Arabidopsis thaliana: one gene and its partners. The protein of the gene in region 1 interacts with the protein of each later gene in a pairwise test. Each region holds a gene or a part of one and is shown on either strand. Other genes may lie near its edges.

The links. Proteins that work in one complex are often made in the same cells at the same time.
Region 2: the proteins of IAA1 (region 1) and NPH4 interact in binary tests that used the Arabidopsis thaliana proteins (3 or more experiments, as listed by UniProt).
Region 3: the proteins of IAA1 (region 1) and ARF6 interact in a two-hybrid assay, tested with the Arabidopsis thaliana proteins (2 studies listed by BioGRID).

The regions. Positions count from the first base shown.
Region 1 is NC_003075.7:8,359,225-8,362,536, reverse strand, and holds IAA1 (indole-3-acetic acid inducible), read right to left. Parts: upstream 1,542-3,312; 5' UTR 1,356-1,541; coding exon 1,198-1,355; intron 1,106-1,197; coding exon 757-1,105; 3' UTR 504-756; downstream 1-503. Other genes in the region: AARE (acylaminoacyl-peptidase-like protein), read right to left, coding at 279-412. UniProt on the Arabidopsis thaliana protein: Aux/IAA proteins are short-lived transcriptional factors that function as repressors of early auxin response genes at low auxin concentrations.
Region 2 is NC_003076.8:7,016,112-7,023,978, forward strand, and holds NPH4 (Transcriptional factor B3 family protein / auxin-responsive factor AUX/IAA-like protein), read right to left. Parts: upstream 6,003-7,867; 5' UTR 5,394-6,002; coding exon 5,348-5,393; intron 5,028-5,347; coding exon 4,915-5,027; intron 4,815-4,914; coding exon 4,719-4,814; intron 4,615-4,718; coding exon 4,558-4,614; intron 4,470-4,557; coding exon 4,314-4,469; intron 4,227-4,313; coding exon 4,142-4,226; intron 4,051-4,141; coding exon 3,960-4,050; intron 3,878-3,959; coding exon 3,710-3,877; intron 3,619-3,709; coding exon 3,423-3,618; intron 3,325-3,422; coding exon 3,186-3,324; intron 3,109-3,185; coding exon 1,130-3,108; intron 1,052-1,129; coding exon 861-1,051; intron 774-860; coding exon 593-773; 3' UTR 359-592; downstream 1-358. Other genes in the region: CPN20 (chaperonin 20), read left to right, coding at 70-243. UniProt on the Arabidopsis thaliana protein: Auxin response factors (ARFs) are transcriptional factors that bind specifically to the DNA sequence 5'-TGTCTC-3' found in the auxin-responsive promoter elements (AuxREs).
Region 3 is NC_003070.9:10,685,320-10,692,556, forward strand, and holds ARF6 (auxin response factor 6), read right to left. Parts: upstream 5,670-7,237; 5' UTR 4,718-5,669; coding exon 4,675-4,717; intron 4,589-4,674; coding exon 4,470-4,588; intron 4,385-4,469; coding exon 4,286-4,384; intron 4,193-4,285; coding exon 4,136-4,192; intron 4,052-4,135; coding exon 3,896-4,051; intron 3,812-3,895; coding exon 3,727-3,811; intron 3,638-3,726; coding exon 3,547-3,637; intron 3,464-3,546; coding exon 3,299-3,463; intron 3,218-3,298; coding exon 3,095-3,217; intron 3,015-3,094; coding exon 2,939-3,014; intron 2,847-2,938; coding exon 2,699-2,846; intron 2,618-2,698; coding exon 1,380-2,617; intron 1,299-1,379; coding exon 1,108-1,298; intron 1,023-1,107; coding exon 806-1,022; 3' UTR 503-805; downstream 1-502. UniProt on the Arabidopsis thaliana protein: Auxin response factors (ARFs) are transcriptional factors that bind specifically to the DNA sequence 5'-TGTCTC-3' found in the auxin-responsive promoter elements (AuxREs). Seems to act as transcriptional activator.

The DNA.
Region 1 (3,312 bases):
AAATCACTAATGATTGCAAAACAATTCCATTAATCAGATTCATCATCCATAACTCTAAACCAATCAAGTTCTTAGTAGATATGATTGGCTTCAAATTCGTTAAAACAGAACAAACAAAAAACCAATCAAAGTAATAAACTTTCGGATTAAAAACTGTCATATAAACGATACCCATCAAAGCAATACCATCAATGATTCTCAATTCGTGGTAACACCATCAAAGTAATGAATTTTCGGATTGAAAAACAGAGACTGAGAGAAGAAGAAGAAGAGCTTACGGAGACTGAGTGAGTGAAGGAGTGATGAAAGTAGATCGGAAAAGAAGGCGACGAAGATGACGATGAGAAGAGCTCAAGTCAAATCCCAAATTGGTGGAGCAAGTTATTGGGTAGTGACTAAAGATTCTCGCCATCTAATATTAAACAAAACAAAAAAAAGTTGAAAACTTTCGATAGTGATATCCATTACATTGCCCATTTCTTAATCCAAAATTTTATATCTTTCACTATGTCCCAAACTTATGTTAGTATCAAATACTAAACTTTATTGGTTATGTTAGTATCAAATATCTTGAGCATACATATAAACTTCGTATAATCAAAACTCATCTTTTACAGAATTAACCAAAGCTAGTTTACATCTATATAACGTATTTGTAACCCTATTGCTTTTTCTTTCTTTACACCAAACTTTTTTTTATCTAAACAAAGTAGAATTTGTTTTTGCCTCGACCAAAAGGTGTTTTGAGACAATGGATCATAAGGCAGTAGGAGCTTCGGATCCTTTCATGATTCTGAGTTTTTGACAAGATGAAGAGAACATGTCCCATGGAACATCACCGACCAACATCCAATCTCCATCTTTGTCTTCATAAGTAGGTACAAATCCAGATCCTTTGTAGCCTTCTCTCTCGGAATATTCACCTACTGTGAACTTGAACATGTTCTCTAGTGCTTTGAGAAGCTCTGGATAGTTTTTGTACATCTTGAGATCTATCTTACGGAGATATGGAGCTCCGTCCATACTCACTTTCACATAACTCACGTTTTTGTTGTTGTTGTTCTTACGGTTAGATCTCACTGGAGGCCATCCAACGATTTGTGTTCTGAAGTTTACAAATCAAGATTCATTATTAGTACACCGATTGATATCAAGAAGTTTGGATATTAAAACTATAACTTTCAGATCTCAACTTACTTTGCAGGAGGAGGAGCAGATTCTTCTGTTGAGTCGTTGTTCTTGCGCTTGTTGTTGCTTCTGACGCAAGAAAGTTCTAGTTGTTGTTCTTCTTGTGCTCCGGGTAATCCCAAACGAAGCTCTGTGTCCTTAAGGTTAAGCCCATTGGTGACTTCCATATTCTCTCACTATACTTTAACGGAGAAGCTCTCTTCCTTAATTCTTGAACTACTTCTTCTTCTCTTGTTATTGCTCTTCTTGGGATTGTGATTTGATATCCTTGAAAATGCTTGTGTGTGTTGTGTAATGGTGAGGGAGAGAGAGAGATTTATATAAGGAAAGATGCTTTGAAATTAGGGTTAACGAGAGAGAGAGAGAGATATGAATTATGACGTTGTCGGGGAGCATGAGGAGGCAAGTTAGAGGCAAGGGGACAAAGGTGGGACACAAAGATTTTGGACGCGGCTTCTTTCTTATTTTCAACGGTCCTGATTTGTCTCCGCCAGTTGCGTACGCGAGATCCTAGCCGTTTCTTTCTCTTACGGTCAAATGAGTAAAGAGAAAATCATAAGAGTAAGAGAACTTCTCGACCTTCGTCCTTCTACCACACGATCACGCTAGGTTTATGTTTTGCAACTATTCGTTATTCGGATTGATTCAAGAAAATATCTAGATACATTTTGTATAGTTCAGATTGGATCATCGGATATCATAGTAGAAAAAATGAAACTAGTGTTGGACATGTTGATCATATAGATCAAGCTTTTTCGATCACCCCAGTTGTGGGGTAGTTTTCATGAAAATATTTCATTTTTGTGTAAAGGTTTGGTATATGGTAGAGTAGATGTCTAGAATAGATGATCAAATATTAATGGTCAATTTGTATCGAAGAATTAACAATTTCCTTTTATAAATATTTCGACAGTTTTTGCGTGAAAAGTAATGTTTTGTTTGCAAGAAACTATAGAACAAAATAATAGACAAAACACTGTAAAATATTATTTATTTTCTCGTAGACACATATATAAATTGTAAGTATAGGTTTGTACAATTATGATCAATAGTAAATAAATTGGGGAGGGAGATGCATGTGGATGAGGGTGAAGAGTGTTCTTAATGGAATAATGGATGCAGGAAGTATGGTAAGGCCATGTGATATGCTGTCTCAAATAACATTTTTTCTATTTATTTTATTTTAATTATTGTGTAAAATTTCATTTTAACATTTATTATAAATACAAATATCTATATGAAACTATATATTTTGTTGAAAAAGAGTTGAAAAAAATATCTAAAGAGATGATTTAAAAAAAAAAAAAAACCATTTTAAATGGGCTTTTGGGGACACGGCCCATGTGGTATTTCGAGCAAGGTAATACAATTAATCCCTTCTCGAAATTACGCATAACTATGTTCATTTAACTTGCAATTCCCATACCGCATGCACCTTAATTTGATGTTTATATTTGTGTTGGGCGTATATTCATTCCACAATCACTGTCCACTAAGAAATTTTATTGTCTATCTAGCGACAACGAGAACAAAAACTAGATCATATATGAACATATTGACAAATCAAAATGTATATGGGTTATTTTACCAATAAGCATTATCGTTTTTACAACAAGTATAAAGTAATGCTCCCTACGTTTAAAGTTTATAAGATGGTTGAACAATTTTTTGTCATTTTAGTTGTTGTTTTTGTTTTTCCATACAACATTTGTGTTTTAAATTAATAATTAGTACTCATATTATTGAACTATTATTAATCAAAAAGTTATTTCTAGTTTCTTATTCTTTTCATATTCATCCAAAACAATTTTTTTTATTAAAAAAAACATAAAGAGTATAACAAATAAAAAAGTATATGTATAAACTTGATCATGAAATACAGAGATGCTAGTCGCTAGAGGCTTGCGTGTTCAATATAAAACAAGACGTATGCTTATAAGAAGTAACATTTGTTAAATCTGTTTTGGAAATCCCTCTCATTGTGTGGGAGATGATAACATAATTGTAGAGTTTACATGCTATATAATAGTATAACGGATTTTCTGATCCCAATAGATGGATCTCCTGCAGGTAGGTGAATCATGATAATATCATTTATACTTATGTCACCATGTGTCCATGTTA
Region 2 (7,867 bases), on another chromosome or scaffold:
AGCTTGATGTGATAGTCAGTTCATACACAAGTTCCAATTATACATATTCTCCTCTTCATTTTATGGCAGGTGATAGCAGTTGGACCGGGTTCCCTAGACGAGGAAGGTAAAATTACGCCTCTACCAGTATCAACCGGAAGCACAGTACTTTACTCCAAGTATGCTGGTAACGACTTCAAGGGCAAAGATGGTTCCAACTACATTGCCCTCAGAGCTTCAGATGTGATGGCTATACTTTCTTAGTTATGTTATATCTTTGTAATCTGCAACTTGTATCCCAATTGTGGAAATTTTTTCCGTAAACGGCCTGAGCATAATCTGGAATAAAGACTTGAGTTTGAAAATGTGATTTTATTGCTGATTTCATGTTTTTCCTTCTCTTTTTGGTTACAAGCGGTTTCAGTTGATCAGTTAAACTTGGTAGAAACAGTGACTCACAGCAAATAAAATCTCCGTGTAAACTTAGTGGAAGATATTTTACAGGTAAATGCTCTACAGTGCCCAGTGGAAACTTGAGACATGTTATCAACGAGAAGTTATATTACAAAACGAAGAAAAAAGAATCTTTGTCTGTGAGAGAACTCTTCTGCCATCACCGGTTAAACGAAGTGGCTGAGTTATCATCATAATGACCTCTCCAAGCATTGCCACTGTCACCGCCACTACAAGCTTGATTAGTAACTGGTACACCGGCAAAGTTCCCGTCTAAGCTCATCTGCTGAACCTCAGCTGATGAAAGGATCTTAATGCTCTGAACACAGTTTACGAATTCTCTGCAAAAATCACGATTTTAAAGGTTAGCAAAAAAATAATGGAACTTCTAACAGTCTGATGTGTGAATGTAATTGCTCTCTACTTACTCCCATGGATCATCGCCGACGAGGAGGATGTCATTTTCATGATCGACATAAACAAGTTTCCAGTCAGATGTTTGAGGATCTTCGAGCTGTCCTTCGATCCCAAACATGCGCGCTAGATCATGCCTCAGCTCATCGTAACCTCTGTAACGGTTGACGTCTATTGATCTCCCCACTGAGCCTCGTTTTTGCACCTGTAGGAAAATTTAACATTTGTCAAACCGAAAACATAACCCAAATATCAACAAGCATAGATCAGAGCACAATCGAACCTTTGTATAAGTTCGCATTCGCTGAGTCTGAGCTGGCCACAATCCACCACCAAGAACTCCAGCATCGTTGACAGCTAGATCGTTCGAAATGGCGGGCACATTGGGGACACCAAAAGATTGAGTTCTTACAGCTGAAGTAGACATCTCTGTACCAATGTCATTTGTCACTCCTCCATAGTTTGAAAGCATGTTCTGAAGATCTTTCTGGGAGTCATATCCCCTCGAGAGTAGCGTGTCAGGCACAAAGCCATTATCAACATTAGCTCCACCGAGCAAGCTGTTCCTGGAATCACCGTCAAGGCCAAAAGTTGGAGCCAAGAAATTTTGTTGTCTGTTGTTTTCGCCTCCATCTAAACCGTAAGAAGTTCCAGAGGCAGATGCTTCTAGTTGATGATCTGTTAAACTAGCTTTGGACTTTTGCTGACCCACGAGTTCTTGTTTTAGCCGCATATCGGATTTGCTGTAAAGATCCTGAACAAGATTACCAGACATATCAATCGCTGCATCAGGTATCAAGATCGCTGGCCCGCTTTGGCTTCTGTTGAGAAAGCCTGAAGAAGAGATCTGACAGTTGTTGGTGGAAGGCGACGTTGAAGAGGAAGGTGCATCTCCTCCATCTGTGATGCCTGAATAAGCTTTGACCCCTCCCCCAACCGGTGGGTTTTGTTTTTCCTGAGGTCGGCTCACCAGCATTTGAGGTGGTTGCAACGTCGATAAGCCATTGTTAGTGCAAGATGACGGAAACTGATGACCTTGAGAGAGAGTAGGCAGCTGTTGCAACTGCTGGCTTTGCAATTGATGGTGTGGTAACTGAGACTGCGGCGAAAGAAATTGCTGCTGCTGTTGCTGTTGTAATCTCTGTAACAGCTGAAACTGTATATGCGGCTGTTCCAAGAGACTCTGCTGGAATATCTGTTGGGCCTGTGCCTGGTGAGCTTTCTGCTGCAAAAGTGTTTGCTGATTCTGCCCGTTGAGACCAGGAGGCTGCTGCTGTTCTACTTGTCGTGAAAACTGTGTCTCTTGCGGCGGTGCGGACATCAGATTGGATGAAGACTTGCTGGTTTCAATTACACTACTCTGGCTAGTGCTAGCACCTAAATGGTGATGTGCTTGTTGAAGTTGCTTAGACTGTTGTTGTTGCTGTTGAAAGCTTTGATTAAGGGAGCTGGACGGAGGCGTGATGACACTGCTTGCCATTGATCCCGAAACTAATTGTGGTTGCAAATGATGTGTAGATGCTTGTTGCGACTGATGCTGCTGCGCTGCTTGTTGACCATTGTAAAGCTGATTCTGTGGAACCTGAAGTTGCTGCAACTTATGTTGTTGTAACTGTTGTGGCTGTGGATGCGAGTGAGATTGCAATGGCTGTGTTCTTAGCTGCTGCTGCTGAGTCTGTTGCTGTAACGGTTGTTGATGTTGTTGCTGCAGTTGTTGTTGTTGTTGCTGCTGGAGCAATTGTTGTTGTTGCTGAGACTGCGATTGATTGTTGTTGCTGTGTTGTTGAGACTGCAATTGTTGTTGCTGCTGCAGCAACTGTTGTTGTTGTTGCTGTTGTTGAGACTGCGATTGCTGTTGTTGATGGTTCAAAGAGGAGTGCAACAATTGCTGCAGCTGCTGTTGTTGGGACAACGTAGTTGGTGGCTGAGGCAACTGAGACATTGGGGCTTGCTGATTCTGTTTGTTAAATTGGAGATTTGAGGAGGAAATCCCCCCGTGCGGCGTCTGAAAGCTCAGTAACTTGGAGGGATCATCAGTGCCGCCAAGATTGTTGTGCAGCGCCGCGGTTGGCGAAAGCATTGATGGGAAGAAACCTGGCTGTGCAGCAGCAGAGGGTAGCTGGCCGTTCTGCTGCTGCATATTCATCCACTGAACTAAACTCAGACCAGGAAAGATAGTACTCGAAGGGTCTTTCATCTCTAAGCTATTATCAAGCCATGGCATTGCTCTCTTCAGTGCAGACTCCATGTCAGTCTCATCATCTGCAAGAGCACCGGAAATTCCGTCCTTGAGGAGATTCAAAGAAGTTGTGTCGAAATGAAATGGTACAAAAATTTACCTGGCATTCCAGGTTGTCCAGAAAAGCGAGGTCGGAAAAATGGAGGAGGACATATGTAGAAAGGAGTTAAAACCGGTTCAATGTCCCAAACTGAAACTCGACTGGGCCTATCACCAGCAGCTGACTCATCCCATCCAATCTTTAGCAGAAACAGAAACAAAGCATAACTAAAATGAATGGTGCAATGTATCAAGAAAGACAAATCTGACATTCATCATGAGTTTTACTTCAAACTACCTGAAGATTCCGCCACTGAGAGTTTTTCCATCTCACTGGATCAAGATCACTGATACCGGTAACTGTACCCATATACCGACGAACTCCACATTCTTCAGTCTCAAATATCATTCTAAACCGCATACCGAGGGAAACTTGAGCGTACATCGCTTTGGTATACTTGGCTAAAGGAACCACAAACTCAGCAGGAGCAGCCCTGAAAAAACTCGGTTGTAAATCTCTCAGCAATTGCCATGAAACAAGCATATATAGTAAGGTTAACGTAGACAAAAGGAAACATAGATCGCCACCTCGGGTTGTAGAAAATGGTGAAAGGACTGTTATTAGCATTAGCATGAGCTGCAGCTGCAAGAACTCCGATGTGCATGCTATCACTTGATATTACAGATGAAGAAAGTGCAGGCTGTTGTCTATTTGCACGTCTTATCCCCAACAGAAGTTGCGCCTTTCCATCTCTTAATTGAAAGAAAAAAAGAATTAGCATCTTGACAAAAAAAAATACCGAAAGAGAGCATTGGCACATTGAGATTGATATACCTTATAAAAAGAACAGAGTCTCCAGCAAAGAGCCTTTTCGTGCTGACAAACACACTCCAGCCTGTAGTTAGCAAGTGCCTTTTTGGTTGACCTGATAAATGTCAACATATCCAAAACGTAAGAACAATTCTACGAAAGCCAAATTGATTAAAGAAGGTAATCTACCAAAAACAAGGTAAAACCTCGATAAATATGTCTGAAAGTCCATGTGTTGTCATGAATATCCTTAGCAACAAGCTCCTGACAAGGTGGTTGCATCGAGAAATCCTAGTAAAATATTGCCAACAATGTAAGAAACTAAGGCAATACAGAGATACTAACTATCAGATGTATAAGAAAGTATTGTATATACACCAGAGCAGGAAAGATTTTCTCAGCAGCTCGTCGGGGTACAGAAAATCCACCGTGAGTACTTGTGTCACTCGCCGTGAGGGTTTTGCAGAAAAATTCATTAGGTTGTCTGTTTAGCTTAAGACCCATGTCAGAAGCAAGCAATGCATCTCTGTCATACTGTTCAACAAAATGCTCAGAGCAATTAGTCCCTCCCTACTCCTTAAATACACCTATAAATCGAGTTATTCAGTGAAAGGTAAGCTACTTTGTTTACTGGCTGAAGAGTCATCTGCGCATAGACCTCATCCGTCTCAGGATCAGCCTGGTTCACAGTCGACAATTAGCAAAACATTAGCAACTCAAAAGCAAAAAATGTTAAAACAACTAGCCTAAGAGGCCATTATAGATATTTAAAAGATACCATACATTCAGTGTAACATTGTGGAGCATGCATATGAGCTTGGAAGGAAGATTCGGGTAACTTGGTATGAAATCAGTCTGCTTCTGCATTGAAGCCGCGACCTAAGAAACAGAAAAATAAATAGCAACCACATGAAATTTCCAATCAGCGACTCATTCTTGATCAGCCGCGAATGATACCAAACTTTATTGAACAACATACTTGCTCACTGTGACCTTGAGGGAAGTAAACAACAAGACTTCCTGCTGGAGGCAACGAAATCAATGGCCCAGCACAAGCGTGCCATAGCTCTGAGTTTATATTTCTCCTTTCTCCTGCATTCACACAACATCAAAGCTGTGATTACTTAAAATCTCTAGGATCTTCATTCAGTTACTATTATCAAACCAACAAGATAGGAGAGAACTGCTCTAAACCAACTAAAAGCCACAGTCTTTATAAACCAATACAATAGTAACTTAGCTTACTCTCTAAGCAGAAAATGACCGAAACCAATTCAATTCAGGTTCTCAAATCCAGCAATTCTGAAGAAATGTGTGACCTCTTCTACTTAAAACTTGAATCTATTCAAATCCAGCAATGAATTTCTTCTACTAAAGGATTGACATTTATCAGATACGAGAAACACACAAACCTTCAACAGGATTAGGAGAAACTCCATTTGATGAAGGAGCTTTCATGATCACTCAACTTTACTTTCTCTGAAGAATAAACCCAATAAATAATCTGAATCTGAGCTTATACAAAGCTAAGCTCTTTGCGTGAGAGCTTCATCAAAAGCCCTAAACTTTCACTCAAGTTGTTAATAGCTTCCTAGCTCAAGTAACAGCAGAGAGAATCGTTAATCAGAAATGGGGAACTCCAAGATCTCAGCTTTTTATCTCCGACAGAGCCGCCAATTTCTCGGAAATTTTAAGTATCTCAAAGAGATCAAAAACCACGACTTTTCACACGCGGAATCTCCGGAGAGACAAACAAAGCATACGACCTTAAAAAAGATTCCGTTTTTAACGAAGCTCTTTATCTCGAGTCAGATAATTCAAAAACACCCACAAAGTTACTTGATTCAGCTGCTCTTCTTTGTTTTGCTTTCCTTTCTTGGGGGGAATCAAATCAAAGAGACGGGTTTCTATAAAAAGAAATCTGGAAAATGAATCGAAAGAGAAAAACAAAACTTAAGGATGACCAAGGACAATCGAAGATTAAGACTCAAACGTGAGAGAAAGAGCAACAGAGTTGTCGGAAAGGGATGATCAGCGACCAGGACAACTACCAAAAGGTCTGCTAAAGCACAGGAACAGCTTTTTCTTCTTCCTCTCCTTTTTTTTTCCTTCTCTTTTCTTTTTCCGATATTTTTATTTTTTTATACCTATTTAGTTATGCTCATGAAGCCGACATATTCACTAGCAAACTGGCCACGATTTAATTTCTTAATGTTATTATTGTCCTCTAAAATTTTAACTTTGACACACAAAAAAACAACTTTATTAGTGTTTTCTTTTTCCTTATCTCTGATAATTTGATAAGTTTTTTTCATTAAGGTTATTATTACTGTATCATTTATTGTAATACTTGATTAGGGATAACATAGATTTATAGGGGATGTATTGAAAAAAACAAACTAAGCTGACTAGCTAGTTATTTGATCAAAGTGCGTACATATATGTTTGGCAATTTCTTTTGTAGTTAACTATATTTAATTCAGATAGATTTTAGGATTCATAATTCATCAAAAAATTTTATGATTTTCATTATTTTGAACAAAAGCATTTTACTAGAAATTTTGTGGAGTTTTACATGGTTGGTTCTGAGTTTCATAAACTAGCGTTCATGTTTTAAACGAGAATGGAACTTAAATGTTTAGTAATGAGTTCTATAATAACAAACAAATCTAAATTCGCTTAGATCATCATTATAAACAATTGATCTTATTTTGTTGTAAATGTTGATTAATTGATCAAATCTAAGTACATACAGCATATGCGATCACAAAGAACAATATTTTAACGGACGATTTCATATCAAAAATGATAGAAGTTCTCTCTTTGTTCATGATTCTTTATTGGTTTCTTATATTAATTAACCTAAACTTTTGTCTTTTGGAAGAAGTGTTATAATGTCACACAAAATAAAATTACATATGATGATCACAACTTACACTCTTTTCCCAGTACAGCCATCATTCAAAATTTTCCTCTATAATCGTTAAAATGTCTACCCAAAAAAAAACGGTGATATATATTCCTAAACATATTGGAAAACCGAATATAACCATAAATATGTCATTGTACAAACTACAATCTATTTGGTTTAAGGCCACATAACAAGTTTTATCTACCAAAGACTGAACCTCCATATTCATCACAGACCATTGTAAAATGCATGTAAACCCTTTGAATGACCCCACATCAAAAAAGAAAGTTACAAAACAGTAACCTCTTTGTTAGTTTAGGTTCGATCCAAAACTTATTTGGCAGGAATGCTTAAAATTCTATATACTTACAACTTTAAGTGAAGGTAATATATATGTATGGAATGAATGGATGTCAATTCAAATAAGTGGCAGTGAGTAGCGACATGATGTCCCTGAGCAATAAATGCGTGAAGACAGAAGTTTGGAGATTGGATGAATGTAAGAAGGCCTTTTGAAGTTATGGATTTCGACGCCTAGCTTTTTTTTTTCTTTTTTTTTTGTGAAACTTTGAGGCCTAGCTAACGTTTAAAAAAAGAAAAAGAAAAATGTTAATAGTTTTCTTATTACAAAGTGACCGAAATTTAGTATGAACTCCGAACTACGACTTCATGCATGTATTAAAGTTGGAATGAAAGGAAGAAGAGCGTGACGCATTTCAGAACCGGTTGTGTGTCCGTATGGTGTCCGCAGTGGAAAGTGGAAAATGAACAAGATGAATAACTCATATACTGTCCTAAAGATATTTCCAGAATCACATCAACGTATTTTAGCCGATTTAATGAATTCGACAGTTGGTGTTGACAATATATGTAAATGTAACCACAAAATACACCACTTGAGTTGGATGAATTATCAGAGAGAGACGAGGAAGTTTCGTTACGATTCCATGATTTTCTCGACTTTACTATGTCATTCTGATATGCATTATTTGTTAATTTGTATGTAAGAGAGAGTTGTGGA
Region 3 (7,237 bases), on another chromosome or scaffold:
AAAACCGAACAAGAAAAAGTTATATTGCAAGATATTTTCCAAATTCACAACAATTTCGATCAATTATCGAAATGACGTTTATTTTCTCAAGTTAATAGGAGTTAGATTTCCTTTTTTACCATGTTATAATATTCTAATTATCTTAACATGAAGACGCAAACAAAAACCATACTCATTCTACAAATTTCGTTTCATATTCTTTGGTGAAAACTAAACTTACTATAAACGATATTGTGAAAAAAAAAACTTACTATAAACGATAAGGGCATATATTAATTTACCTACCAATAAAAATGTCCTACGAACTACGGATCGATACGTGTCTAGAGATAAAGTTTTTGCTGACGCAAAATGAGATCTAATTTTAGGGTAAAGCCCCAAATTGCGGGTCGGAATATTTTGGTGTTTCACACAACAAAACCACAAAACGCTTTCACTTCCAATAAGGAGATTGGGACCCAAATCACTTTCTCTGTGGACCATTTTAGTCAGACAAAGTCTTAATGTAACTCCAAAATAACCCTTCACTATCATATTGATTGAAGAAATGAGTAAGGAAAGTGACATATATAGAGTTCAGTAAAAATATTCATATAAGAAAAAGACCAAAAGATCTTATAATTACAGTATTACGAGTCGACAGAGGGATTATATAGTTTTTGTTTCCATCAAAGGCAAAGGCAAATCTCCCTTTTTTATAAGTAATAAAGAGAGATTTTTGCTAGTAATTAAACTAAGATGATCTCACTACTAATTTATAAGATTGAAACTTAACTTGAATAAAAAGGGAGGTTTCCATCTACTTCTAGTAGTTGAATGAACCCCCAACTGATGCGATACCGTTACCGAGATTCCTCGGGTCTGACCGGTTCCCAAAGTCGTCACAGTTCCCGTTGCTCGGGAGCTTATCGACATTGTTGGAAGATGGCGCGGAGTTGAGAAGCTCAAGGCCTCTTTTTCCCATTTGTTGCACTTCTTGTGGTGACAGTATCTTAATGCACCACACGCTGCTCACAAACTCCCTGTCGATAATGGTAAATGCAGGTAAATAAACATGGAAATGGACAAAACCAAATGCGGAAATGAGGGATAAGTTAATAAACTCACGGCCAAGGGTCATCGCCGAGGAGAAGAACGTCGTTCTCTCGGTCAACAAATACAAGCTGCCAGCCTGATCTCACAGGGTCTTCTAATTGGCCTTCGAGGCCAAACATGCGAGCAAGCTCGCTTCGCAGCTCGTGGTAGCTGCTAAACTTTGATATATCTAACGATCTTCCAAAAGACCCTGACTTGTACACCTACAAAAACATTTCCGGAATCATCGCTATGCATGCAAACAAGAAGAACATTTTGGGTAGGGAAAAGAAATAAAACTTTACCTTCACAAAGGTGTTAGATTGTGGGTTCTCGGAACCGAGGTTTTCTGAGGATTGTAGAAAACCCGATTCATCTATGCAACTAGAAGGTGTTGTCATTGCAAGATTACCCGAGAAATCATTGTTGAAATTAGATGATGTGAAGGGTAAAGTCGTGGAGTCACCACCTTCAATACCAATGCTTCTAAGGTTTGACATTCCGTTCGGCATCAAAAGAGAAGATGAATCTATATTGACTCCAAAGAGAAGATGGCTATGCGGGTCTGAGGCGCTTCCTTCTTGCTCGATCGAGCACTCTCTACCACCGGGAAATGGAGGCAACGAGACAGCGTTTGGAGGAACGTTGCTTGTGTGGGACTGTCCCAGTTGCTCCAATACGGATTGAGTGTTATTATTACCGGCTCCAGAGTGCTGGAACGATGAATCAACTGCAGGACGCTTTGATGGCCAACCGGATGAAGTCATTGCAGAGTTTGTTCTAGTGAGGTGGAGCAGTTGAGAAGATTCGTCTTGAGAGAAGTTACTGAGAAGAGTGTGAAGTGGAGAAATAGGATTGTTTCCTCCGTTGGTATCGGAGAAGCTTTGCTGATGACACAGAGAGGTCATGGACTGGAGTGGTGACGTGTTGGGCTGAGAAGCAGAACCAAATTGAGACATAGCGGAAACAACAGCAGCACTGGACGCAGACGGATTATGATTATCCACTACTTGCTGCTGCTGCTGAGAAAGATGATTGTTTGACTGTGATTGAGCCTGAGACTGAGGCTGGTGGGTTTCAGGAACGCCAAGATACGCCTGTTGCTGCTGCTGCTGAGAGAGTTGTTGCTGCTGCTGTTGAGAGAGCTGCTGCTGCTGCTGTTGAGAGAGCTGTTGCTGCTGCTGTTGGGAGAGCTGTTGCTGCTGCTGCTGCTGCTGAGAGAGTTGTTGCTGCTGCTGAGAGAGTTGCTGCTGCAGCATCTGCGGCTGCACTAAGGACGGAGATTGCATTGAGAACCCCGGCGAATTTTGGAACTGAAGAAGTGAAGCAGCAGCTTTTGCAGGATCAATGCCTCTCATGTCTTGAAGGGCAGCTGCAGCCATTGCTTGGTACACATCATTTTGCATACCAAGCAAGCCCGACGTATCAAGTCTCGGCTGCATCCACGGGTTTACTCCCATACCTTGAAAGTTTAGAGATTGGAGTCCTCGATCCCACATAAGCGGTGAACTCATACTCATACCCATATCATCTTCTTTAAGGCCTGCAACCAAAATTAGAAGATATAAAAGACTAGAAATAGAAACCTTTCAGAGATTTGTTAAAGTTTTGAAATTTACAATACCATGGAAAGATGGGAGACCAGGAGGCCACGGCCGTTTAAGCCTGAGAGGAAAAGGAGATGGATACATAGGGAATGTTGTTAAAGGCTCAATCTCCCACAATGAAACCCTTGGCTGTCTCTCTCCTGCAGTAGATTCGTCCCACCCAACCTGCATTTTGATCAGATGATGAATGATATATGTATACGAGAATGCAAAGACCAATGAATATTTTCTACTAAAGGTTTGGTTTTGAGCTAAACCTTGACAGATCGCCAATGCGAATTAGCCCAACGAGTAGGATCTAGATCACAAATGCCAGTTATTGTACCCATGTACCTGACAACAAACGAAGATTCTTAAGGACATTCAGCAGCAAAAAGCAGAGTAAATTATAGGAACTCTGATAATTCACCTACCGACGAACACTAGATTCTTCAGTTTCAAACAGCATCCTAAACCGCATACCAACAGAGACGCGAGTGTGATAAACCGCTTTCACATACTTAGCCAGGGGTATAACAAACTCTGATGGACTCGCCCTGCAGAAAAACCGAATCCGTTTGATGCAAAACGAAGAGAATCAACACATAAGTGCATTCATAAGGTACTTAAGACGATACCTCGGGTTATAGAAGATGGTGAATCGGCTGTTTGTAGCGGCAGCATGAGCTGCTGCAGCAAGAAGGCCTAAATGCATACTGTCACTTGACAAAACAGATGAAGGCATGACAGTTTGTGGTCGGTTGGCTCGTCTTATACCAAGAAGTAATTGATTCTTATCGTTCCTAGCATTACAAATACTTGAGTCAGTTTCATGATTTGAATGTAACACTTAAACAAAAACCCCAATTTGAAAGATGTTTCTAACCAGATGAAAAGAACAGAGTCACCAGCAACAAGCCTTTTAGCACTCACAAATACGCTCCAACCCGTGGTAAGGAGATGTCTCTTTGGTTGGCCTATAACGCAGAAACAAATACAGATTAAATAAATCTCTTTGTTCTTCAGCTATTAATAAGAACTTGGATTTTTCACGAAGAAAGCTAACCTCGGAAAATATGCCTGAACTTCCATTCATTATCATGCAGATCCCTCGCCATTAACTCTTGAGCTGGTGGCTGCTGCGAGTAATCCTGAAGAACACATAAAATTTTATTGTTAAGGAGGCAATAGCTAATCTTGAAAGTAGAATTCATATGAACAATAAGATGAATTACCAAGGGAGGGAAAACTTTCTCAGCAGCTCGGCGAGGTACAGAAAAACCTCCGTGAGTGCTTGTATCACTAGCAGTCAGAGTTTTACAGAAATAGTTTGTAGGCTGTCTACTTGGGACACCTAATTCCGCGGGAAGGTAAGGATCTTTTTGCTCTTGCTGCATTCAAACCAAGCAAAGAAGGTTCAAAACACCGACAAATTCCACAAAATTAATTATGAATTACATAGTAAAGTCTCATACCGCATTCAACGGTTGCAAAGTCATCTGTGCATAGACTTCATCAGTCTCCACATCAGCCTGAAATGGTAAGGAATCAAGTTCTTAACTAACACACAAACAGAAAAGACACTTAGAAAAGTTTGTCATAAAAACTGATAGTGAGTTCCTTACATGCATTGTAACATTATGAAGCTGACAGATAAGCTGCGGATGCAAGCTCGGATAATTTGGTATATGAGCATCTACTTCTTTGTTGGTCGAAGCAGCAACCTGAAAACCACAAAACATTCTCAAGTAACCTGTAACCAAAAAGGAAAGATTTGAATCCAAATCATAAAAGGAAGGAGACAAAAACCTGTTCACTGTGACCTTGAGGAAAATACACAACTCTGCTTCCAACAGGAGGTAGTGAGACAAGAGGACCAGCACAAGCATGCCAGAGCTCAGAATTAAGAACTCTTTTCTCTCCTGTAACTTTCAATCCAAAACTCACAAAGTTAGTTTAAAATCACTATTTGCTAGAAGTATCAAAGCAATAGAGAGAGAAAAGAGAGAATTACCTTCATGAGGTTGAGGATTAAACCCAGCTGAAGATAATCTCATTTTTTATTCTAACTTAAAAAGCAAACAACAAAGAACAAAAAAAAAAACACAACTTTGTTTCTTCAAAGATCCAAAGATTTCAAGATGCCCAAATGTAATTATGAAGAAGAGACACTAAAAGCATAACTTTTTTAACTGTTTCCCTCCACCTCCCACCCATTCACCAACCAAATCTAAAAACCCTAAAAAAAACAGATTTATTTCTTCTTCCCTGAAATAAATCATCAGCCAAATAAGCTCGCAATCTTGGTCTCGCCGACTTCAAAACCGCTTCTTCGAATCTTCAACTCCTTCATACTTGTAACTTACTTAATCCACCCCACTCATAACTCCCACTTAAAATTGTAAAAAACAAAACTTTGATAGTCGTTTGGGTTTCTCCAGAAAAACCCACCACCGCCAAAAGCTCAGAAGCCAAGAAAAAAAGAAACACAGATCTCGAGCTAACTAAAACGACAGAAGCTGGTGCCGTTTCTTCTTCTATAAGCTGGCTTAATCGAGATCTCAGGCGAAGTATATGATTAATGCAAAGATCGGGAAATGAGAAACAGAGAGATATGGGGCATGCACTTGCTCAACTGTTGCAGAACATGGGTACACAGAGAATAATCAAAGATAGACAAAGATAGAAAGAAAGAGACTGTTTTTATTTTTATGTTGAAGAATGATTTTTTTTTTCCGGTAACGAAATACGGCGGCGACGTGACGGTGCTATAATTATTTGTTTATTCTTCTCTCTGCTAAAGTTTTACTTACTTCTCTCTCTCTCTCTCTTATTTGAAATGAGAATCAGAAGAAGAAGAAAGAACGACAATGGCTGTTTTTTGACCCGAACCCGAACGGAGCGGGTCTTTGATTTTCTTCTAAAGCAACTTGTTGTTCTGAAAGGACACTTAATTTACTAATTTACCCCTTATTTCCTTTTTATTTACAGTTTGGGACTCGTGCCTTTTTTTAATTTATGCTTCTCCCGAATTTCAAAACTTCGTTGCGTCGTCCATGTAATTAAAATTGAGTACTATTATGGTTTTAATAATACGTTATGGTACAAAGGAAAAAAAAAAAAATAATAATACGTTATGGTACCATCATATATTATAGTATTACATGATCGTATTTCTTACTCTTTTTTTTTTCTTTGTCATAGTAGTTTTATAAAAATTATGTGTTGTTGTAGATTTTTTTCAGCTAGTGGATGACCAAAGGCTTTTTTATACTAGAGTTTTAGTGAACTATTGCAAATAAAATGAATCAATTTGTTTTAGGAAAAATATCATTGCTGTAGAAATCCTTTGGTTTACTGGTCAAGGTTTAAAAGTTCTGTTTGGAGTACATAAGTACTCTTTCATTGGCTATTTTATTTTGCCTCATTATTTGATTGTGTAATGTGAAAATGGAAGTGTGCGAATTACAGCAAAATTTATTTTATATAGAATATAGCAATAAGTCAATATATATAGACAGTGAAATCACCTGATAAAAATGACAGGACGTGCTTTTAGGGTTTCCTGATTCTATTTTTTTTTTTTTTATGTATATAATAGTAGTTCGAATTGCATGTAGAAGAGGGTATAATTGGTAATATATATGTATAATACACACTTCCTCGTTTGGAAATTTGCGAATCTGATTTCTTCAGCTATATATTGTAATAAAGAATATACGTGTTTTTTCTTAAGATTCCAATAAATTTTAATTAGATAATTTTATCCGAAAGAAAGAAAAAAATTTAGAGAACATGAATTTTGATTCCAAACAATGGAGATAGTGATCATTTACCTAGGGGAAATGACAAGACTGCCCTAAGAAGGCACGTGCAACTTCTTGACGTAAACAAGGGTAACGTTGGAAACAGCATTATATACAAATAGATCAGTACCATCGCCATATCTTTTGTAGATTTTATTTATTTATTTGTATTAAATTCAGTTGCATTATTGTCAGTTGCTAGAAAATTCGGCTAATGTGTTTTTATGCAAGAAAGTGATATACGTACATAAAACATCAGCATCAAAAGTATCCAACTAGCATTTGTTTATGCAACTAATTCTTAAGCAAAACCTTAAAAATTTGCGACAAATTAGAAACGTAGCTTATAGCTAGTACCCTAGTGCTTGTTTATTATATACAGAGAACATGTTATACAAAATAACAGTTATTACTTAACATTTTCCCACACAAACAAATATAAAAATATAACAGTTATTAGTTATTATATACACTAGATTTCACAAGTTATGTTTTAAAAAATGGATATATAGAATTATGGGTGAATTTAGTGAAAACAATGGAAGATTTCAGAATTACTTAACATAAAAAATTAAAAATGACAAATAAGGTGACTAGGTGAGTAATAAATAATTAAAAATTCGCTTTTAGAGACATCTTCTCATTTCTTTTCTTTTTTGTTTTTGTTACTTCATATTTCTCTCTCCCCCCTATTTTACAAATAATTTATTTAGTATAATCAACATATGTCAATTATCATGTTAAACTATTAATTTTTGTTATGTTTCAATA